Linked DNA regions of Saccharomyces cerevisiae S288C. The gene in region 1 interacts genetically with each later gene. Each region holds a gene or a part of one and is shown on either strand. Other genes may lie near its edges.

Region 1 (8,769 bases):
AGCCTTTTTTTGAAACTCAGAGACACTTTTCCCATTGCCGGTTGTGTTGTTGGCAAAGTTTTCACTTTCTTTCTCTTGTAGACGTTCCCTCTGCTGTTCTCTAAAGTTTTTGTTTCTTTTCTTGTAACTCAACACACTTTGTTGAAATTCTGAAGTTCTATCCTTTATGTTCATGGGAGTTGTGTGGTATGGTGAAATGGTCGTTGGAAACAGAGGTGGAATAAAATATATACAGTAAAGAGTGGGTGATTTCCGTTCAAAGGTCTAACAGGAGCGTCGATGCGGCGGTAGGATTTTTTTTTTTTTTTCAATTTCTATATTGACATTATTATCATAATGATTGTTTCGAATATGCCCTTTCGCCTCGCCTCGATCAATAAACCTACCCGGATATTACAACAACATAATAATACACCTGTGAAGGTAAAGAAAGAGCATTTCTCTTTTTTTTATTTTTTTTTTTTTTTACTTTCTTTACATTAAAAAAAATATGAAGAGTGTAATAGGTAAGTATAAGTATTATTTAATCATTACAATTTAGCTTCAATAGTATAGAAGCGCACCACTTCATCAATGGCTTTAGCCACGTATTCCACGTTTCCTTGATTCAATCCAGCAATAGAAGCTCTACCTGAGGCAACCAAGTAAACTGCGTGGGTTTCTTCAAGTCGTTTAACCATTTGAGGAGTCAATCCTGTAAAGGAGAACATCCCGCATTGATTTACTATATGATCCCAGTTGCCAGGAGTGCCCAACTTGACTAAATGGTCTCTTAATGCGTGCCTCATTTTCGTAATTCTGGAGGACATGGTAACCATATCCTTGTGCCACTGTTCCGTTAATTCTGGCGTTTCCAACAGTTTAGCGACAATCTTAGCGCCGTAGGCGGGTGGGTTGGACACTTCACTACGAATGATTTTGGCCAATTGAGATGTAACAGCAGGCTTTATAGTTTTGTTTTGAGCTTGTTTTGTAAGTGCTAGATGGAAACAACCTACACGCTCACCGTACATACCGGCGTTCTTGGCAAAGGACTGACAGACAAAGACGGGAGAGACCGTTGAAAGCTTCTCCACACCTAGACGCACAGCATAGGCATCCTTGTCCAAATCTCCAGTGGCAAACCCTTGGTAGGCGGTGTCAAATAAGGCGATGTGGTTCTTTGAGGCGATAGCATCAACGATTTGAACCCATTGTTCACTAGTAGGGTCCAGACCAGTTGGGTTATGGGCGCAAGAGTGCAGAACGAAAATGGAGCCCTCTGGAGCTTTTTGAATAGCATTTAGAAAGCCGTTTAGGTCCAAAGACTTAGTTTCGTTGGCCCAGTAAGGGTAAGTCGCCGTTTTCAAGCCTTGATTCTCAAAAATGGCCATGTGGTTGGCCCAAGTAGGCTTAGACAAATAGACCAGTTTATCTGGGAAGAATTTTGAAAAAAACTTCGCAGATATATGAAGAGCACCCGTACCAGACAGTGATTGTACTGAGATTACTCTGTCTTCCTGAAAGGCATCGGATTGCGTACCGAAGATGATCTTGGCGGCGTTAGATGTCAAACTTGGCAGACCGGTAATACCGAGGTATTCATGGTTGTAGGAGCTGTCGTTATGAATTAGCTTTTCGGCGGCTTTAACACTTGGCAAGACCCATGGTTTACCGTTGTCGTCTCTGTAGGCCCCGATACCCAAGTCGACCTTGGTAGCACGTTGATCTTGCCCGTACCTTTGCTTAATACCAAAAAGGGCATCAGGGGGCAGCAATTCGATGTTATTGAACAGAGTGGCAGACATTATCGCTCTTGTGTTCTTGTATTCCTGTGTTCTTTTGTTCATTAGAATTTGGACGGTTGCGCTTTCCCTTCTTAAAGTATCCACATACGTTTATATACCGACGTGCAAGGCGACAAGGTAAATGAGGCCGATCACGCTGACTCACTCGGTCCGACTCTCGGCGATCGTTATTCACGAAGACGAAAGATAGCCATTTCCAGTGGTGACCATTAGTATTGACAATATGTACATCGCATTAAACAGTAAGAAAACATTAATATTCCGTCAGGAATTCCTGTAAATTGCTCTTACTACAAACCTGCAATGCCCATATCATCATATTCAAAGTAAAAATTTCATTTTCCGTAATTATTCTTATCTTTGGGTGCTTTGTGGCAGCTACTGGAGTAATTGTGTATAATAGATGCCACTAGTGCAGTTAAATGAAATATCCTACATTGAGAGTTTAAAAAATTGCCTCCTTGTATGTTTCTTGTAAATAATGATTTTATGTCCTTCTAGCGTAGTAACCCTAAACCATCAGCGGCTATTATTAACATTGTTACCCTGACAGTGCTTTTTTATTTCAAGAAAAATTTTCCTTTAGATTCTCTCGCCTATATAAACACTTTGAAACTCTCATCGTCGTGCATTTAACTTCTATGGTAAACTTCTTTTCCCATTCAAGTTTCTCTTTGCTTATTTGTAAAAAAAAAAGTAACCATAGTCTCGTGCTAGTTCGGTACTATACAGGGAAGGGAAGTCACTCGCATACGTGTGTGTGCATTTCTTGCTATTGCTGCTTAGCTTCTCTAAAACACTGGGCTAGCGTTTTTCAACGCTCGAGAGGCAGAGTCTCAAGGAGCCTCCAATGGGCCTCACGTATTCATCTAGATGGCGCTTCGGACAACGGCATCACATAAGAGATGCAGCTCCTGACTTCTCCTCTGATCTTCGTGATCAGAGTTTTGAGTCGTCAGACTACGAGCAGTTTCTCTTAGTCGTTGCATCGGGTGCTGTTGCCTTAACGATGTGTATATGGGGTTCGGGGGCTGTTGCCATGATATATATGGATGAGACAGAAGTGGCCCCGTTGACGAGTTTAACTTAGATTAAGTAGGACGCATGATCTTGAGCTCTTTTCCTATACTTTGTCCTATGGCCAGCTTTCTCCTTATTACGAAGAGATTGCGGGATGTGGGTGCAGAGTGGGAAAATCTGAGTTCGGTCATCTTTGTTGTTCGTCCTACCGCAGTATATTCCTAAACACTATGAAATGACCCTAGTTGGTCCATGATCATTTGGGTAAAACCATACTGCAGACATCTCTATAATTCACATATTCACATCTTGTCCTCTCGCAGAAGAGGAAGGCCTTTGACGTAGAAAATTAAGTAAATCGTATACGTTTACGTATATACACTTGTATTCAGCTATATATGTTGTTTCTGTTCTTCTCATAAAATGTACCCTACTTAGTGGTGGAATAAACGAATTGGGTTCTCCACGTAGACGATATCAAATGAATCCGCCGCTTGGAAGACAACTTTGTCCATGACAGACCCCGAAGGAGCCGTGATGAACTTTACACCAGACTGCACAGCTCTATAAACGTTGTCTGGGAAGGGAAAGAACGCATCGGATGATAACGATACATTGTTTAATTTGCTTAACCATTCTAGTCTTTCTTCTTTGGTGAAAGGTTCAGGGACTTCTTCAAATTTGCTTTCGTAATCCACCTTTTCCGGGCCTTCTATTCTTTGCCCTGTAACAAAAAGATCAATCGCATTCGACTTGTCCGCTCTCTTAATTCCCTTGGCCCACTTCATGTTCAAAACCTTTGGATGTTGTCTCAACCACCAGTTGTCCGTCTTGTCACCAGCTAATCTGGTACAGTGTATACGCGATTGTTGGCCGGCCCCAAGCCCCACAACCATACCATTCTTTGCGTAGCAAACAGAATTTGATTGTGTGTATTTTAAAACCAGCGTAGCAACAGTTAGATCGATAACGGCTTGCTCGGTAAGTGCTTTGTTTTTGGAGACAATTTCTTTGAAAGTGGATTGGTTTATGATCGCATCGTTTCTCTTTTGTTGTAACGTTACGCCAAAAACCTCTCGGGATTCCATTTGGCCAGGAACATAGTTTGGATCGATTTGTAAAATACAGTATTTTCCGTTTTTCTTCTTAGATAGTATATTCAATGCCTCTGGTTCATACCCTGGAGCAATAACACCATCGGAAACTTCTTTAGAGATGATTTTTGCAGTGGCGACATCTACAATATTGGACAATGCAATGAAATCACCAAAGGATGACATCCTATCTGCACCACGGGCCCTAGCGTATGCGCATGCCAATGGTGATAAATCCTCCATATCATTCACAAAATAAACTTGTCTTTCCACATCGGATAATGGAAGTCCCACAGCAGCACCTGCTGGAGAAACGTGCTTGAACGATGCTGCCGCAGGCAAGTTCAATGATGCAGATAACTCTTTCACTAAGGGCCATGAGTTCAAGGCATCCAAAAGATTTATATATCCTGGTGTACCGCAGAGCACTTTGAAGGGCAACTCCTCCTGCTGAGTGATATAAGCTTGTGCAGGTCTTTGGTGGGGATTACAACCATATCTTAGCGGTAATTGGGCTTTCCCTTCGGAGTACTGTTTCCTGAAAAAGTCAGAAATGGCCGCATCATAATCGGCCGTATGTTCAAACGCCTTAAGTGCAAATCTATTTCTTAAATCCTGAGAAATTTCACCGTCCTTAGACAGGTCTTGCAGAAAGATAGAATAGTCATTAGGGTCTGAAAGAATAGTCACTCTGGAATGGTTCTTTGCGGCTGCTCTCAACAAAGTCACACCGCCAATGTCGATCTCCTCTACAGCTTCTTGAACTGTAACACCAATTTTAGCCACAGTTTCTTTGAACGGATATAGATTACATACAACAAAATCCACCTTATCAATGTGCTGCTCTTTTAAATCTTTTTCATCGCCCTCTAAATTTCTGGCAAGAATACCTGCATGCACAGCAGGGTGAAGAGTCTTGACTCTACCCCCTAGCATTTCTGGTGCATGCGTAATTGAAGAAACATCGTCGACCGGAAAACCAGCTTCTCTGACCATGTTGGCCGTACCACCGGATGCTAGGATACGAACATTGTTCTCTACCAATCCCTTGGCTAAGTCTAATAAACCTGTCTTATCATAAACTGACAAGATCGCAGTCTTGGTATATTTGCCCATTTTTAGCTCTTTTGTTTTTTGTCCCTATTTATGGTATATTTGGATTCTTTGTTTGGAATGGGGTATTGATTAGATCTTGAATGTTATCTAATCGCTAAAAAGAGCAAGAAAAAAACACAAATGCTGAAAACTGGAAAAAAGGACGATCTATTTGCCAATTATTAAGGCTTATTCTTAAAGTGGAAATAGCCCTCTCTTTTGCTTTTCTTGAGTTTTATCTAATGGCTCTAATAAGGAAAAACGGGAAGAAAAGGAAAGAAAAAAAATACAAGAAAATAAGGTGCGACTAAAAAGAACATGGTGTTAATTTATGCGGCGGAGAAATTTACTTGAGCGTAAAGATATTATATATAAGTATTATGGTAGTGCCACCACCTATGTAAGCTGCTAGCATTGGTATACGTAGAACAATTAGGACTCCCTCGTCCGCTCCTTGATACAGGTAGATAAGTTCTGCCTGAGGGGAGGATTGAGAAGAGGGGGTAGGGGTTTGCTTGATAGCAGAATAAAAGTACAGCTCTAGGTCTATAAAAAAAAAAATTGGTTAAAGAAAAAATATACAGGTTTGTATATAGAATCATTAATTAAAAAGATAATAGTATAAAACACATCAGATAAACAAAAGTTTGCCCAATAAAATTATATTTTCCATCAACCAGCTTATTTTCTGTATCTCCACAAGGACAAAGTGTTTTGTCTCTTCCAGGTCTTTCTTCTACCAGCCTTGGTGTTGTTGAATTTGTGACCCTTGTTGATACCTCTGGATTTCTTACCAGTGGCAGTCAAACCTCTAGCTTCACGGTGCTTGTGAACTGGGTCACAGATCCAGTTGTAACGAGCATCTCTTCTGATAGCCTTGTGTTGAGGGTCGACCAAGATAACTTCGAAGTACTTGTAAGTAGAATCTTGGTTAACCCAGTAGGAGTTCAAGACTCTCAAGTTAGCGGCACGACGACCAACTCTTTCTTCAGCGGTAGCTCTCAAGGATCTTTGGTATTTCAATTCATTGACACCTTGGTTAGTTGGCTTACCGTAAGTAGCACCCTTTGGAACAGGTCTCTTTCTGTTACCACGTCTAACTCTGACACGGTAGATAACGAAACCTTGCTTAGCTTTGTAACCCAATCTTCTAGCCTTGTCTGGTCTAGTTGGTCTAGCGGCTCTGTGAATGACATTCTTTTGTCTGTATTCCCAGACTCTGACTCTTTGCAAGAATCTCAAAACATCAGATTGCTTCTTTCTTTGCAATTCTTCCAAATATTTGTAGGCACCCATTGCTGATTTATTTGTTTGATCGTGGTTTTCTTAGATTGTAAAAGAATTACTTAAGGATAGGGAAAGAAACGTGAGAAATAGCAGTTAAATGTACCGGTGGTAAAAATGCAATGCCATCATTCTTTGTTACCAAGCAAAAGTGAGAAATCTTGAAAAATTTTAGCACCTTTGAAAATTTTGCGTCAGCTCCAAGAAATTTCAGAAAATATATTCGACAGCTTTAAATCCGTACATTTATCAAAAAAAGAATATAATATCATGTTTGACGATGTATGCTATGTAAATCATGTCATAATACGCATCAATTGATACTACAAATGCATCTCGGATAGAGACATTGTCATGATAATCGCAACACATGTCGCACCTGGTGCATGTTCTGAACCTTAACACTAAATATTTAAACGTCATGTAGGGTGCGAGTCCATCTCATTCTTGCCCAATAAATTTTAGAAACACCCTCTTATGAAGGGCGGCAAAACATATTAAGTAAGTGTCGATTGTTAAACACTTCCCCTTTTTTTATGCATAGTAAAAGGTACAAAGAAAATAGCGTACCGTCCTTAAATCAATATAGAAATATAATGAAAAAATAAGTGCTTTGATAAGAATATCTTGAATACAAATTAAGAAGTGTATATTTATAGATATTTTCGTTTCAGCTTGTGTCTGTGTGTGGCCTTATATGTAATATATGAGATGGAAGGTGAACAAATTATGGAGTATGTTCAAGAGACACCGATCATTCCAAAAAGGATTATCCATTATTCGATTCCAAAACAAATGATCACAAAGCCCGCTCCCCATGTCGAGATGACGTTGGTAGCTAATACTTTTCGGGACATGGACTTGCCGCAGCATCCGGTTATCCATGATTGTTGGCAAAATAAAGAGTACTCAACTCAAAGATATTCAGGAAATGTGGCTCAACAGAGATTAAGTTTTGAGGAACATCCAAATGAAGAGTGTCAAAATTCTGTTGGGTTAATCAAGAGAGTGAGTACTTTCTTTAAAAAGAGGCCATTGTCTCGAAAGAATAGCATAAAGTCAATCGGTGACGTAAAATCGGAGGCACGTAACCGGGGAGAAGGCCTCCTGGGTGAAGTTGATAATCTTAACGAGCAGAATGTCCGAGAAAACCTGACTAGTGAACATGAAAAGAGTCCTGAAGGAGATTCCAAAAGGTATGGCCTGTTCTCCTTTGAAGAGACCCCCCCTATACAAGTGTTGGAGCAGGGCAATATCAATTCTGAGCTTTCTTCATTTAAAAACACTTCTTTGGCGGAAAACAAACGCTCTTCTGACAGCTTCGTTTCGTTAAAACCGGGTGAAGATGAACATAGCCCTTTAGAGATTAGTACGTGTGGTAATTTGACTGAAAGAGAGGATTTGCAATCTGGCGAAGAACGGTTTGACTCAGCAGCCCAAAATATAAAGGTAGCTTCGATGAAGGAAAAAAAAAAAATCTTCAAAGGGAACAAAACAGATTAATCACTGAGATTATACGCCTCGAAAACATACTAAATAAGCATAGGAAGGCTGAAGCTAAGAATAATATTAACAAACTTGAAAAGAAGTTGAGTGAAACAGATGGTTTTACATCTGTAAACACATCAGTTCCAGTAACTCCTATTATGCCGGTCTTAAATACGAGAACTTCTTATCCCAATATCGACTTTCATGGTACTAAGGTTTCTGATGTTCTAGATGCCTTTGAATTTGAAAAGCATGATGATCCCTTAAGGGATAAATGGAACACTTTACAGTTTTTGGAAAAGAGCTTTGAATCTAAATTTGAATCTGCATCAGAGTTAATCCAAGGAGGCGAGCTAGCTGCTATTAAAGAAAGAAATTTTCAATTAGCCAAACTAAATAATCTTTGCTTTCGGGTACGAGAGTCCATCAAAAGAAGACAAGACCTGGAGAAAAAGTTAAGAACTTTATCGCAGGACACTGACAACGAATTGCTTTTTCTGATGTTGGAAAATGAGAGAAGAAAGAAAAGTTCAGTGATAATAGAGTTTCTTTCTGAGATAATCAGAGAGAAATCCAAAAGATTAACTGCAGAAGAGCAAGGCTTTGTAAATCAAAATGAAGTAAAACCCCTCATTCTGGACCTTTCTGCACGGATAAATAGATTGAATTCTATTCTAGAAACAAAAAATACTTGTATTAGAAGATTAAGTAATCAATAAGTAGTTAAATTTTCATAAATTATTACTTTCTTACATGTTAGTTGGCGCGTCGTCTGGCTGAAAATTTTACGCGTCATAAACCCTTAACTTTTCCACACATTATTCCTTACTGCTAAGCGCATTGCTCACTTGAAAGTAAATTATCTACAAAGTTACATTATCAAAAGGCCTTAGAAACACACCTAAAGTCTTACAGTATCACAATATGAGTCATATTGAACAGGAAGAAAGGAAGAGGTTTTTTAACGATGACCTTGACACTTCAGAAACATCGTTAAACTT
Region 2 (7,358 bases), on another chromosome or scaffold:
ACGCAAATATCTAAAAAAATATTCATATGAAGACTCTTTCTATCTACTATAGTTTACAAATATAATACTGTATATAAGACCATTTATTGGCTTAAAAGATTTTAACCAAGAGCAATCCTATGGAACGTTCTGTCCCACTTCACTCAAGTTTTTGAAAGGGTAAAAATTAAAAAAATTATAGAATTAACAGTAAAATGTGCTACGTTCCAAAAAAAAAAAATATGCACTATAGTATATTACTACATGTAATACTTCGGTCAAATACACTGGGAGTAAGTGAAAATAGAGATTGTTATCTCCATTAGTTTCTTCACATTCAATAACTACTTTTTCCGTATGAGGCGCTTACCTCATCAAAATGAAGAAAAAAAAAAGTATATAAGCAGCGTGATTGTCCGATCGAAATCTTTCATTTCTCACCCTCTCTCTCTTTAAACAGTCGCCCACACGTTCCCTCTTTTTTTTTTTCGATTGTTTTAGTTCCCCCCCTGCCTTTTCTTCTTTATCTTGTCCTTTTTAGTTTATCACATTTTTTTTGTTTTTGAGTATTTATCTTGTATCTAACTGTCTATCTGACTAGGAATCAATTTGTAAAGTTCTAAAAAAAAATTTAAAGGCGGCTATTGAAAATGAAATACGTTGTTGTTTCTGGTGGTGTTATCTCAGGTATTGGTAAGGGTGTTTTAGCGTCCTCTACAGGGATGCTACTGAAAACCCTCGGCCTAAAGGTTACTTCCATCAAGATTGACCCATATATGAATATTGACGCCGGGACGATGTCTCCCTTGGAACATGGTGAGTGTTTTGTACTTGATGATGGTGGGGAAACGGACTTGGATCTCGGTAATTACGAGCGGTACCTCGGTATTACCTTAAGCAGGGACCACAACATCACCACCGGTAAGATATACTCCCACGTAATTTCCAGAGAAAGGAGAGGTGATTATTTAGGTAAGACAGTTCAAATTGTTCCTCATTTGACTAACGCAATTCAGGATTGGATTCAACGTGTTTCAAAAATTCCAGTGGATGACACAGGATTAGAACCAGACGTCTGTATCATCGAGTTAGGTGGTACGGTCGGTGACATTGAGAGTGCGCCCTTCGTGGAAGCATTACGACAATTTCAGTTCGAAGTTGGAAGAGAGAATTTCGCCCTGATCCATGTTTCACTTGTGCCCGTCATTCATGGTGAACAGAAGACGAAACCCACCCAAGCAGCAATCAAAGATTTAAGGTCATTAGGGCTTATTCCCGATATGATTGCCTGCAGATGCAGCGAAGAACTTAACAGGAGCACTATTGACAAGATTGCCATGTTTTGCCATGTGGGGCCGGAGCAAGTGGTCAACGTTCATGATGTTAACTCCACGTACCACGTTCCCTTATTGCTGCTAAAGCAACATATGATCGACTACCTCCATTCAAGGTTGAAATTAGGTGAAGTGCCTCTAACCTTGGAAGACAAGGAAAGAGGGTCTCAATTATTGACTAACTGGGAAAACATGACCAAAAACCTAGATGATTCTGATGATGTTGTCAAGATTGCTCTTGTGGGAAAATACACTAATTTGAAGGATTCCTACCTATCTGTGACCAAATCCTTAGAACACGCAAGCATGAAGTGCCGTCGTCAGCTAGAAATCCTCTGGGTAGAGGCAAGTAACCTAGAGCCCGAAACTCAAGAGGTGGACAAGAACAAGTTCCACGATTCATGGAATAAGCTCAGTTCCGCCGACGGAATTTTGGTTCCTGGTGGATTTGGCACGAGAGGTATTGAAGGTATGATTCTTGCTGCCAAATGGGCCCGTGAATCCGGTGTTCCCTTTCTTGGTGTCTGTCTTGGATTACAAGTTGCCGCTATCGAGTTCGCCCGCAATGTGATAGGCCGCCCAAACAGCAGTTCTACAGAATTTTTGGACGAGACACTACTAGCTCCTGAAGACCAAGTAGTCATATACATGCCCGAGATCGACAAGGAACACATGGGTGGCACGATGAGATTGGGTTTGAGGCCTACCATTTTCCAACCGAACTCAGAATGGAGCAACATAAGGAAGCTTTATGGTGAAGTTAATGAGGTGCATGAGAGACATCGTCATCGCTATGAGATAAACCCGAAAATAGTGAATGATATGGAGTCTCGTGGCTTTATTTTTGTTGGTAAGGACGAGACGGGCCAGCGTTGCGAAATATTCGAATTGAAAGGCCATCCATACTACGTGGGCACTCAATACCATCCAGAGTATACATCGAAGGTGCTGGAACCATCAAGACCGTTTTGGGGGCTTGTGGCCGCAGCCTCCGGCACACTTGGTGAAGTGATCAAGGACATAAATCTAAGCGAGGGAAATGAAAATGAATGAATTGATGCGCTTACTACTTACTTACATACGGTTTTTATTCAAGTATATTATCATTAACATTAGTTGGTTAGACCAATGACACCACAGGCTGGTCTTGGACCGGCATTACCAGTCTTCAAAGATTCTTCAGTGTCACCCTTACCTAAGTCATCTTGGCCGGCGTGGATAACGACGCTTCTGCCTACAACGGAGGTAGGACCGATAAGCTTGATCAAAGAGTCCTTGAAGGAGCCCTTGGCCACACCATTTTCGTCCGTCTTTACGTTACCCATGTCACCGACATGTCTGACTTCGTCAGTTGGAGCACCATGTGTCTTCTTGAAAGGATTGAAGTGAGGACCAGCAGAGACACAACCATTGGTGGCATCTCCAAACTCATGAATGTGGAACCCACGTTCTGCGTTAGGACTGTTACCAGCGATCTCGTAAGAGACAGTGGTTGGCTCGGATTCGGAAGCCTGTTCGAACTTGACAACACCAGAGACACCGGCATCACCCTTTAACACTGCGACTGCTTGAACCATTATAAATTAATTATGTTTTATTTGTTTGCGCGATTGCTTTCTTGCCTGTTTTTCCGCAACATAGTTACAGCTAAACATTTGCCCAAAACCATCTTCTTATATATATATCTGCGATGGCGAGCCCAGCGGAAGGGATGTCCGCTTACTAATTCCGACACACCGGTTTAACCCCCCGGCGTGCTGGGGTGGGTGCCCCTAAGGGAGCGGGTTCTGTACTTCCAGTAAGCGGCATTTGCGCTGTCATCGCCTTATCGAACCCGCTACTGAGATCATGTCCTGAGTGGGTGAGTCGCACGCCCAATCGGCTGCACTTCAGAGATACTTACGTCCAATTTCGCATCATGCCAATATTACCTGTGGAAGTTGAAACTTTTTTTGCAGATGCCGATAATTTTCACATGGATGAGTCGCAGTGTCGTCGTACGTGATGAGGGCAGGCTTGAAAATTATTCTTCGAGCCCAATTCTCTTTACTTATAGGCATGCCATGTCTAATTAGGTAGTCATCTCAGTTTATCTTGTGCAGGGTAGAACCAAAGATAACAGCAAAAGAAAGAGCAAGCAATTATGACCGCACCATTGGTAGTATTGGGTAACCCACTTTTAGATTTCCAAGCCGACGTCACGGCTGAATACCTGGCCAAGTATTCTCTAAAGGAAAACGACGCAATTTTGGTCGATGCCAAATCAGGCGATGCTAAGATGGCTATTTTTGACGAGCTCTTACAGATGCCAGAAACAAAGCTTGTTGCAGGTGGTGCTGCTCAAAACACTGCTAGAGGGGCAGCATACGTTTTGGGCGCCGGCCAGGTGGTGTACTTCGGTTCCGTCGGTAAGGACAAGTTCAGCGAGAGATTGCTTAACGAAAACGAAAAAGCTGGTGTCAAGTCTATGTACCAAGTTCAAAATGATATTGGTACCGGTAAGTGTGCCGCATTAATCACTGGCCATAACCGGTCCTTGGTCACTGACTTGGGTGCTGCCAATTTCTTTACTCCAGACCACTTGGACAAGCATTGGGACTTGGTCGAAGCAGCTAAGCTCTTCTACATCGGTGGTTTCCACTTGACCGTGTCTCCAGACGCTATCGTTAAGTTGGGCCAACATGCTAAAGAGAACAGCAAACCTTTCGTGTTGAACTTTAGTGCTCCTTTCATTCCTCATGTCTTCAAAGACGCATTGGCCAGAGTTTTGCCTTATGCTACCGTCATCATCGCTAACGAATCGGAGGCCGAAGCCTTTTGCGACGCCTTCCAATTAGACTGTGCCAACACTGATTTGGAAGCTATTGCTCAAAGAATTGTCAAGGACTCTCCAGTTGAAAAGACTGTCATCTTCACCCACGGTGTCGAACCAACAGTGGTCGTGTCCTCCAAGGGTACCAGCACATATCCAGTCAAACCTTTGGACTCTTCTAAGATCGTCGACACCAACGGTGCTGGTGACGCCTTCGCTGGTGGCTTTATGGCTGGGTTGACTAAAGGTGAAGATTTGGAAACCTCTATTGACATGGGTCAATGGCTAGCTGCTTTGTCTATTCAAGAAGTTGGTCCCTCTTACCCTTCCGAAAAAATATCTTACTCTAAATAGATTCTTCTTACAATATAATAGAAATAAAATATACTCTACGTGTTCCCTCTAGCTTTTCATTCGTAGACATGTTTACCGCTTGTTCTTAAACCAAATAAGCCACCGTTACCACAATAAGGAAAAGAGGCGCTATAAAGTACAGCTTCAAGAAAAAAGGACAAGCAGCGCTAAGAACAAAATACTCGTTCATCCTCTCCACATACGGCCGTACACAAGCAACAATAACACAATAATATGGACTGGGCAATCAATGTCGCCCATCCACGATTACTTTACAAGGATCCTAAACTTTCAGTAACGTTTATTGTGCCGAGCTTATTTCATATCATTATTGCTTTCGTGTTATTAGGAATATGTGCATCCGATTTTCTTTGCCCCAACGTGGCCCATATATCAGATCCCAACAGCCTTCGATCGAATGGTTCTTTAGTCTCAAAAACGGCGTCCCATGCATCTCATACTGGGGCATTAATGGCAGTTCTACTATCTTGGTGTAACTCTTCGCCTGACCTATTTTCCAACTTAATGAGCTGGGCAACCTCTACGAGAGAAACAAGGTCAACCTCAGTATCGCTATCAATTGGTGAGGTGCTTGGCGCTTGCGGCATTATCCTGTGCATTGTAGAGGGCTCCATTTTTATTATTATGTCAAGAACTCACATTGAAATCTCGCAAATTCAAAAACTATCCATCATGAGAGACTTGTTATTTTCTTTAGCTGCCATGTGCGTAATGAGTTACGTTTCCCTTATGAATCAGGTCACTGTGCTGAATTGCCTTTTGATGGCGTTCCTTTATGCCTTTTATCTAGTCGTTAAGTTAACTTTCAAGCTTAATCATTCTGCAGAAACCCCAGATGAAACTGCTGCGGATACGAGCCTCAGAGAAAACTCCGTTTCTCCTTTTTTGGATGACTCTCTGATGGCTTCTGGTTTACTACCACCAATACAACCTGGCTTTGACATATCCAATTCTATAACACACGGCATTAAGCCTAGTTTGCTATCTGCTATGGATTTCAATAGTTTCTTATCAATGCTTGAAAACTCATCTTTGGAGGAGGATGACTCAAGGAATGAAATGGCAGAATTGAACACTCTACGTAGCATGACGCCGGGACAACATTGGTCCGCCTCTGCAACAGTTGCAGGAGAGGCAACGAGTGCTGGAAGACCTTTCAGTGAGCCAACGAATGCGTTTACGGAATATAGAGATTCTGAAAGAGCAATAAATAGTTCCCCAGCGGTGTTCGCCCCCTACCGTGACAACCCTGATGATGAAGAGTCTCAAGAGCAAGTATTATTGGAGACAACAACGCATGGTCATTTTGGTGCGCAAGAAATGCGAAGGTTCTCCAAAAGGTCTCTGGGCTGGATTATAAAAATTTTCATACCACATCTCTCAAATTTTTCCCAGAAATCCATCTCAGATGCGATCTTTTCCATAATAACTGTTCCGTTTTTCATTATTTTCAAACTATCATGTCCTCAACCGCCTTCAGATATTTTGAGTTATGATCCCACTTTGAACAGATACTCTTTAACAACGTTACCCATAATTTTATTATTTATCCAATCAATTACTGCACCCTTCCTCCTTTGCAGTATACTTTCTGTGCTTTTGACATATCATCTAGGCTATCTCGTTTACCTTTTCCCTCTTATATTAGCTATGGCCTTAATTTTACTATTGACGGCTTTTATTACAAAGGTAAATCTGCATAACAAGTTTACTCTGTCATTAGACAGCTCTAACATTTTACAGGAAAAGCTACAAAAAAGAAAACTCCTCGAAAGGCTTAACACAAGCATCCAAATAATTTTTCTAGCTATCGGCATAATAAATATCATAATTTGGATATCACTTTTAGCCAATTCTCTTATTGAGATGATGGAAATTTACCAAAAAATATTAGGATTATCGAAAGCTATTTTGGGCCTTACCATTTTCGCATGGGGCAACTCAGTAGGAGACTTGATCTCCAACATATCTATGTGCAGGCTCTACAAAACCCAAACTCACTACCAAGACAGAGTTCGTTTAGCCACAAAATTTTTTATGATATCATGCGCATCTTGCTTAGGAGGCGTAATGCTGAATTCTATGGGTGGAATAGGCTTTAGTGGGCTAGTATCAATGCTTTTTATTGGCGCTTTTAATGATAACGAATGGTGGTTCCTAAGAAAGGTTAAATTACAAGAAACAAGTCAATTGGATAATACATTAAATTACAAATTCATAGTTTCTTGCGTCTTCATTATCCTACAGATTATTCTCTTGCTGTTATTCTTCGGAGGGCCTAACAATATTAAACGGCGCCTCACAAAGGAGATGAAGTTAGTCGGAATCTCTATGTGCGGACTATGGGCACTAGCCACGTTGATTAATATACTTCTAGAACTGTTTAGCTAAAGCTTGCAAGAGTGCCTCCCGAAAAATTTGTTTTTGTGACATTTATCTGGCGCCGTAACAGATCCGCGCAGAACACAGAACACCAAGAAAAGAAGTACTATTTAATTTCAAGATTACTTAGACTCCGTCATTCAAATCGCCCTTTTATTCAAACAAAAATGGGCCATATATTCTTTCTGTCTCAACCTTCGTTTCCTTGGATGAATTATTTTGATTGAGCTCCAAAAAAAAAGTTGTAGCCAGGAACTATCCAAAACTTCGATTGAGAAACCCATAACAATGATGCCTGCCAGACTTTTCATACTATATCTTTTTGTAGTACTCATGCCTGTTGTTCATTGTTCGTCCAACCTGCCCATCACTCCATATATCTATGAGCGTCTAGTATATTTTATTAAGGCAAGCTCTATATCAAGCTGCATATCTGACAACTTACTTCTTGTTAATAAAACCTTCAACGACGGAGG
Region 3 (8,199 bases), on another chromosome or scaffold:
ATTAGCATTTGTCCCGCAAATTTAGCAATTAGCACACCAATGAATAAAACAATAAACATACCATAAAGGGGACCTCTCGAGACCCTCAAAGTTCTAAATCCAACGTTTGCAAACATTTTTGGTGGCTTTGTCGTTTGTTTTCTGGACCGCTTTTATTGCATGTGTCTTTTACATTTGTTTACTGTCAAAATGAAGCTCGCGTGTAAATTTGTAGATTGATTACAGAAAGATGTAGCTGAAACCAGCCAAGAAAGAACAATTAGCACATCTCATTTTATAGAGCCTCAGTTTCTGTCGTACGACTGTTGCAAAATATGTAGGTGGAAGTGGATTTTTAAATTACGTTTAAAACGTAGATTGCGAGTCACTGAATGGCAGCAAGCTTATTAAAATGATTAATTTCTAATTTTATTGTGATATAGGCAACTTTGGATAGAGGAAACAATGAGCCGTAAGAGTGCTAGTTACTGTTTTCGCACCGCCGCAATCGTATAGGTGCGTTAATGGCAGTTTAAAAGCTAATACTGCTTACATGAATGTCAACGGCGCCAGCATGGTCAAATAACCGGCAATATGTCCTGCTTCAAAGTTAAATAGTTTGAAGTATTTAGTGCAAAAGTGCCATCTTCTTTCTGGGGAAAGTTTTAAAGATAACATCGTTATTGGTGTAATTTTGAACAACTGCATGATCATGAGTTTACTTGAGAAAGATGGCTTTATTTACTGAAAATCTGCTACTGAATAGAAAGCGCTCTTAAAATCAAAAGGAGAAGAGAACCAAGAAAAAAATTACGCAGATTGTGCCAATTCCAAGATGAGCTGATGCACGATATTTGCAGAAATTTATAAAATGGAAAGATCTGCAAAATATCACGAAGACATCAAAAAATACGATCTTTACACCCAAGGTATTACAGTCTTTGGGTAATGAAATTATCAGATTTGATGGAGGGCTTTTGTGATAATCCTTCTAATTCATAACAAGAACTTTATACGGTACACATGTGGAGAAACAATTTCCTTACTTAGATTTCTTAAAATGAAAGATTTAAAACACATAGAGGAAGCTCAATGGCCGACGCCAACTCAGGATGACAACGGTTTGTTTGTGAATTTGGATGTTTCAAACTCGGATCAAAAAATTCACAACATAATTGAACGGTTGGTCAGGAGAACGAAGAAGTTTTTACAAAGGCTCAAGTATAAGGAATGTCCTGCGCAACGTAATATATACCAGAAGGTCAATCCCAGCCTTGACGTAGTAATATGCCCTTAAACCTCCAGAAAATTCCCCCAATATAAAGTATTGCCGGGAAACAGCATATATACTTACAACAAATAGAATCGTTGGCACCGACATTGAAGTGGACTATGTTCCCCTATGAATTGTTCATAGTAATATTGTAGAAGACCCTATTGTTCTTGTAATTCGGGTAATATATTTGAAATTGTACAATATGCCTATTTAGGGATATCATTAACTGACTGCAGCGGTAATGATCAACTAATGCTCAACAAAGAGTCAAAAATACGGCAACAAACTGGTAGTAACGGTAGGACATTTTCAAATTTTCAATGTCTGACGATTTGAGAAGAAAAATTGCTTTATCCCAGTTTGAGAGAGCCAAGAATGTTCTAGATGCGACATTCCAAGAAGCATACGAGGATGATGAAAACGATGGTGATGCATTAGGTTCCCTGCCATCATTTAATGGACAATCAAATAGGAACAGAAAATATACGGGCAAAACCGGTAGTACTACTGATAGAATTTCAAGTAAGGAAAAGAGTAGTTTACCCACTTGGAGTGATTTTTTTGATAATAAGGAGTTGGTAAGTCTTCCTGATAGAGATCTGGACGTAAATACATACTATACATTACCTACTTCATTGTTATCAAATACCACTTCAATTCCCATCTTTATTTTCCACCATGGGGCGGGCTCCTCAGGTTTATCATTTGCAAACTTGGCCAAGGAATTAAATACTAAACTAGAAGGAAGATGCGGATGCTTTGCATTTGATGCTAGGGGGCATGCAGAAACAAAGTTTAAGAAGGCTGATGCGCCTATATGCTTTGACAGGGACTCTTTTATCAAAGATTTTGTAAGCCTGCTAAATTATTGGTTTAAGTCTAAAATAAGCCAAGAGCCACTTCAGAAGGTATCTGTTATACTAATTGGTCATTCCCTTGGTGGAAGTATATGTACTTTTGCGTACCCTAAATTATCAACAGAACTACAAAAGAAAATTCTTGGTATTACTATGTTAGATATTGTAGAAGAGGCTGCCATTATGGCCTTAAATAAAGTTGAACATTTTTTGCAGAATACACCCAATGTATTTGAATCAATTAATGACGCTGTCGATTGGCACGTTCAACACGCGTTATCGAGATTGAGGTCAAGCGCCGAAATTGCTATACCAGCTTTATTTGCTCCGCTCAAGTCAGGGAAAGTTGTCAGGATAACAAACCTTAAGACCTTTAGCCCTTTCTGGGACACATGGTTTACCGATCTGTCGCACTCCTTTGTTGGCTTACCTGTTAGTAAATTATTAATATTGGCGGGAAACGAAAATCTCGATAAAGAATTAATTGTGGGGCAAATGCAAGGTAAATATCAGTTGGTAGTTTTCCAAGATTCCGGGCATTTCATTCAAGAAGATTCGCCTATAAAAACAGCAATCACTTTAATTGATTTCTGGAAGCGGAACGATTCTAGGAATGTAGTAATCAAGACTAATTGGGGTCAACACAAAACCGTGCAAAATACATAAGGGTTAAATATCACTTTTATATCTTTATTTATGATAGAATAAATAACAGAATATATGAACTCGTGGAAAAGTCTTATTTTGCTGTGAGCACTTCTTCTGTGCTAATCAATAGACATAATGTCAAGCGTTGAGCCTTTATGTGCTTCACACTGCTCGACAACTTCATCAATTTTTCTTGAAGCCCATGGAAATCTTGGGTTGATTAAGAAAGGACGTAAGTCAAATCTGTTGTCTTCTGGTGAATACTGTTCAGCATGATAACTAGGAGTTAAAACAGTTTGCTTGTGTCTGTTGATGGCATAGAAGAAGAAAAATCTTTTCACCTTTTCAGATATTTGACGAGGTGTTAACTTTGGGGACCATTGATGAAGAAGTTTTAAGAACATAGAATAAGGACCACATTTTTCAACCTTTCTTAGGTAACCAAACACGCCCAATTCTTCATACGTCATCCCCATATCTATCTCATCCGATTGAACGTAATCTTTAGTCATAGGTTCTAATTCTGCAGTTGGTGTAGCGTTTAAAAAGTCATTCAAGATTGGCATGTTATATTGTTTTGATGCGTAGGCAATGAATCTTTTCAAGTCAGTTTTTGAAATACCCCCAATAGGGTTGATATCTGCGGAGGAGCAGTCATATTTTGTTAGATACCCACGTAAGCACTCATCAACATTTGCGCTACCAAGTACTAACAATCCACCCGAGTTTGGGATACCACGAACCCACGGCAACAGTTGCGCAAAAAGATAAGAAAGAACCATTCTTAGACGCGCCTGGATGTTTTGTAAAGCCAAGTTCTCGATTTGAGATCCCCCAAATATTTTGTATATTGGTTTTTTGCCAGTGGCTACTTCGAATAAGGACACCACACTGGATACCAATGAGTCCATCTTTAAATCCACGTGGTAAGATCCAATTGCATTGGAAAGGTCCTTTGCTCTGTTTCTTGTCTCCTTGGATGAATTTTCCGTACCCATGAAACAGGAGTGAAATATTTTTGAGGCTAGATCCTGTGGACTGTCTGGAATCCAATCATCGCCGCTACGTGTTATCTTACGAACGTCTTTGATAACTTGCTCATTTCCATTTTGAGCAGCGTCGGTCACTAAACGGCACATAGAGTGGACAATCATTGCAGTTGCACAAGAGTCAATGCCCCCAGATAAGGGAAGGAAAAACCCTGTTCCGTTACAACGTCTTAAATAATCCCACATCCAGCAAGCAGGTCCCAGTGCAATTTCTTCCTCAGGAGAGTGATAGAAAGGCTCGCGGACTTTTGTTGGACACACTGTAGGATCAAATCTGGAGGTCATTAAAGCCAATTCTACAGGAATATCAATACGCTTGAACTTTATTTCTGCCAAGGAGGCTTGTAGGCCACGAGACATGACAGCTGCACGATAACTCCTCACCTCTTCTAGGTCCACAGTAGCAGTAACTACTTCCACATCATCTAGCGAAAATTGTGAACCTTGGGCTACAATTGTACCATTGATGGCAATTAGTGCACAGCCATCATAATATAATCTGTCACCATCACAACCTCTTTGATTTGCATACAAGTAAACACCACCACAACGTTTAGTGGCATTTAAAATTAGGTCTAACCTTTTATTTAACTTACGCAGTTCATGATGAGAACCAGATGAGTTTGTCATGATTTCCACACCATCTAAAGACATGGCGATGTGGGGGGATTGAGGTGTAAACAATTCTTCACAAGTTTCTGTACCAATGCATGTATCCAATGAATTTATCACAGCGTCCCCAAATGGCACAAGTCTCTGGCCGGTAACTTTCTGAATCTCAGGTGGAAGGATAAAGTCCTCCACCACGCCAGGTTTCATCCAAGGTGTGAAAAATCTCATTTCCCTATAGTTACCATCATTAGCTAACCAAATCTTAGGTCTTATGAACAATATCTCACCATCCAAGGATAACAAACGACAATTATAACGAACATTCTTGTGTAGAACGGGCATACCAATGTCAAGTATTAATCCATGGGTTTCTTTATTCTTAATGATTTGAGCATACATTTCCCATGAATGAAGGCAAACGTCATTTTCTAAAAAATGATCTAAACATCCGTAGCCAGTTATTTCCAGTTCTGGGCCGACACGTAACCTGGCACCCCTCTCTTTGGCAATCTTAATGGACTGTAGGATACGGTCTCTATTACCTTCAAAATCTAGGGCCCATTGATTCAAGTTGCATGTAGCTAAAGTGATAAGATGTGACATTACTGGCAGGGAGTCAAAAAAAGAATGCCAGGGTATTTGGGGGTATTTTTACAAGCAATATCAATTGATGATGTGAGCATATAGTCTATTTTGAGGTAACCAGTTGATAATCTTATATTTCCCTTCCATATTCCTCTTTATCTTTTTCGACGAAACTATTGGGGCCTCTTGATATGACTTAGCAGGACATATAAAGGATAAGATGTTCCAAGCTATGTTATCTTTGACAAGTTTTGATAGCAATAGACTTTCAATTCCAAATTTAGGCACCTTTTGTAAGATCCTGTGTTCGTAAACTTTTCTTCAAAAAACATGGATCTAACTGACTGAAAGAGTTCATTATCTTTCAATTATGTGATGAAATTCTATTGTTTTTTTCAAGTTTTGCAACTAATCATAAAATAGAATGTTTTTACAGTCAAGCAAACAAAAATAGTGTAGAACTGTTAATATAAAATTAGTGTGAAAGATTGATCAAGAATTTATAAAGTCCTTCATGTTGTATATAGTATACTATACATGAACGCATATACAAGTAATTTGTGTGGATGATCATTAAAGATGGAAAATAAATAGAGTACAAAGGGGGGAAAAAAGTTCACTTGATGTCATCAAGGCATTCACCAGAGTTGAGAAATATCAGACCAATCATGCTTCTTTCTTCTTTCCCAATAACTCTTCGGTCCAGTTATGTATTTCCATTCATTCTTAGATACTTTTTCGAAATATTTAGGCTCCACATCTTGCCCTTTATTACGTCTTTCACGTTGAAGTTGTTCCAATTTCAGCTTCCACTCTTCCGCCTTATCAACATTTCCCTCCTCGTAAGCTCTAATATCTGGTCTTAATCTTGAGTCCGTAGGTGGTAAATTGCCCTTTTCAATTTCAGTTATCTCATTCAAATTTGCGGTGAATTTAGTAAAGCCATATTTCTTCTTCGGATTGCTAACTAAATCACCTACTTCCCATATAGTTTCATGTGTAGTTTCATTAGCTAAACTCTGTGTCCATTTACCAGCTAGAGTTTCCTTCTTGCGATTGCTCGAAGGTGGTGGGATTATCGAAACCTTAAATCCTTCAGATCTTCCACTAAACATACCTGCCTTATCGAACAGGATGTGTGATTTGTCTCCCTTCGAAGAATGTACTTCGAATTCGTTGACAGGCTCCATATATCTCTCACCCGCTATCAAATTTTTTAAAATAGTTGTTGGTTGCGTCCATTCAAATAGTTCTCCAGTTGTCTTAAACTTCAATCTCAGTATACCTTCGTTATTCAATTCAATAGACTTACCCCAAAACTTTTGCGATGGCGTTACAGTGTAACTACACTCCCAGTCGAGATGCTCTGCAAAGAAGGCAAATACTGGAGGACGATGTGAGACCTTTTCCGATATAAGCCTAAACCCCATATCTTCTCGTATAAGTTCAAATGTTTCAGCCAGTAAAGGATTAAAAGGCTTTCTTAGCGTTCTTGTTTTATCCCTATATATGGAAAGAAAGGAAATAGCAAATGCAGAAACAAAGGTTATAGGATCAGGACGTTGGGTAGCCTTCGTTAAAAGTGGAGCATACTCAAATGTTTCTGATATCAACTGCAAAATAGAAATAGGCTCATTTGAGGTTACTGGCATGGCAATAGAGCTCAGATCTTTGCCTACATTCTTTCTCAAAAAAGATAATAGGCTTGGCGGAGAAGCTGCAGCTTCAGGTATGTCATTACGGCGTGTAACACTCTTTGGATAGGAAAGAGCAAACAAATCCTTACTTGTAAATGTTTCTGTTGAGGATTGGGCGCTTTTGGTTTTTTGATGATGAGGGTGGCCACGGCGACGATTTTTGTGACGATTTTTGAGGTGTTTACGGCTATGATTTTCATCGTTAGTTGTATAGCTCTCCACACTTGATGAAGCTATCTGTTCGGATCCCGACAATTGGACCTCTTTTGTGAACTCATTTTGGTCACTTTTACCAAGAAGGGGAGTTTCCTCGACTATATTATTAATATCATCTTCTGTGTCAGGTAATATAATGACTCCCCGACTGATTTCCTCTTCTGCATCAAAAAATTCATCATTCTCGCTAAGATATGAAGTTAAAGAAACTCTCGTGTCTTTTGCTTTCTTGCACAGGATCTGGTGGTCCTTGAATAAAACCTCTCCCTGTGTAACGAACCGGCTAACAAATACTTCAAGATCTGCCAATTGGTTATATAAAGCATGCTCAATATATGTTTTGTTGGAAGGAACCTCTTCAGAGGCTAAAGAATCAGATGACGTCATACCAGAAGAAGAATGATTGAATGAAGACACTCTATTATTGGTAAAGACGGAAGATGACGAATGTGTTCCATTTAGCCCCTCCGATCTTTGATGTAAAGTAGTTGGTTTATAAGATAACGAGTCTTTTTTACACTGCTCCAGTCGTTGTTGAATCAAACGTAGATTCATGGAGAAAGTAGCGTAAGATTCGCTGGGCAATGGGACATATATGTCATCCATGTCTTTCTGAGTATGCTGTCTATGTGATAGTGCACTTTTGGTCGTAGCCGTGGGCGTGAGGTGGTCGTGGTCTTGAGGTGAGCTTTTATTAATTACTTCCTTGTCATCGTCAAGAATGTCGGGATTTTCTTCCAAAGTGGACGTGTCCTTATCTTCGAACTGATCGTCAAAACAAGTTTGTAACGCATCGACCCACGACTGCCAATTTTCCTTAGTTGTAGCCTTCAAGACCCAAACTTCCATACCAGAATCAATTATGATTATTTTGTCCTTCTTATTGGCACTAACAGATGACAAGCTTATGACAATTTCACCCCTACAAGTTTGATTATGGTCGTTTAAATAGTACGATAGGGTTCCATATCGAAAGTCCAAGGTGAAAAACCTTTTCTTAAAACCTTGTAGTCTCTTTCTCCTTTTTTTCAGCAGGTAGCCTTGCAAGTAACGACCTTGTCCTACTCTAAATAACATATCCTGTTGAGTAGATGTTCTGCTTAAAGCTGTAGGCCTTGCGGGAGGGGTGGATCTTGTGCTTATCATCGATTGATTATCGCCGTTTATCACACTTGCGTTAAAAAGAATTTTCTTTTTTGCATTCTTGGAAGACGAGTTGTCCAGTATAAATGCATAATAGTAGTCTGTATCTTTCACTTCAAGATCACCTTGGACCATAG

Evidence for each region. Genes that interact genetically often act in the same process or in processes that back each other up.
Region 2: of ADE16 (region 1) and ADO1, a mutation in one rescues a mutant of the other (synthetic rescue), as found in Saccharomyces cerevisiae (one study listed by BioGRID).
Region 3: mutations in ADE16 (region 1) and QNS1 together harm fitness more than expected from each alone (negative genetic interaction), as found in Saccharomyces cerevisiae (2 studies listed by BioGRID).

The regions. Positions count from the first base shown.
Region 1 is NC_001144.5:196,299-205,067, forward strand, and holds ADE16 (bifunctional phosphoribosylaminoimidazolecarboxamide formyltransferase/IMP cyclohydrolase ADE16), read right to left. Parts: upstream 5,018-8,769; coding exon 3,242-5,017; downstream 1-3,241. Other genes in the region: SED5 (t-SNARE syntaxin), read right to left, coding at 1-174; aspartate transaminase AAT2, read right to left, coding at 531-1,787; 60S ribosomal protein eL15 RPL15A, read right to left, coding at 5,678-6,292; YLR030W (uncharacterized protein), read left to right, coding at 6,992-7,783; YLR031W (uncharacterized protein), read left to right, coding at 7,927-8,487; DNA helicase RAD5, read left to right, coding at 8,693-8,769.
Region 2 is NC_001142.9:620,125-627,482, forward strand, and holds ADO1 (adenosine kinase), read left to right. Parts: upstream 1-3,456; coding exon 3,457-4,479; downstream 4,480-7,358. Other genes in the region: CTP synthase URA8, read left to right, coding at 630-2,366; superoxide dismutase SOD1, read right to left, coding at 2,426-2,890; ECM27 (Ecm27p), read left to right, coding at 4,714-6,891; LIH1 (putative lipase), read left to right, coding at 7,216-7,358. UniProt on the Saccharomyces cerevisiae protein: ATP dependent phosphorylation of adenosine and other related nucleoside analogs to monophosphate derivatives. ADO1 does not play a major role in adenine utilization in yeast.
Region 3 is NC_001140.6:243,018-251,216, reverse strand, and holds QNS1 (glutamine-dependent NAD(+) synthetase), read right to left. Parts: upstream 5,025-8,199; coding exon 2,880-5,024; downstream 1-2,879. Other genes in the region: type 2C protein phosphatase PTC7, read right to left, coding at 62-116; PPE1 (phosphoprotein phosphatase methylesterase 1), read left to right, coding at 1,576-2,778; oxysterol-binding protein related protein OSH3, read right to left, coding at 5,645-8,199.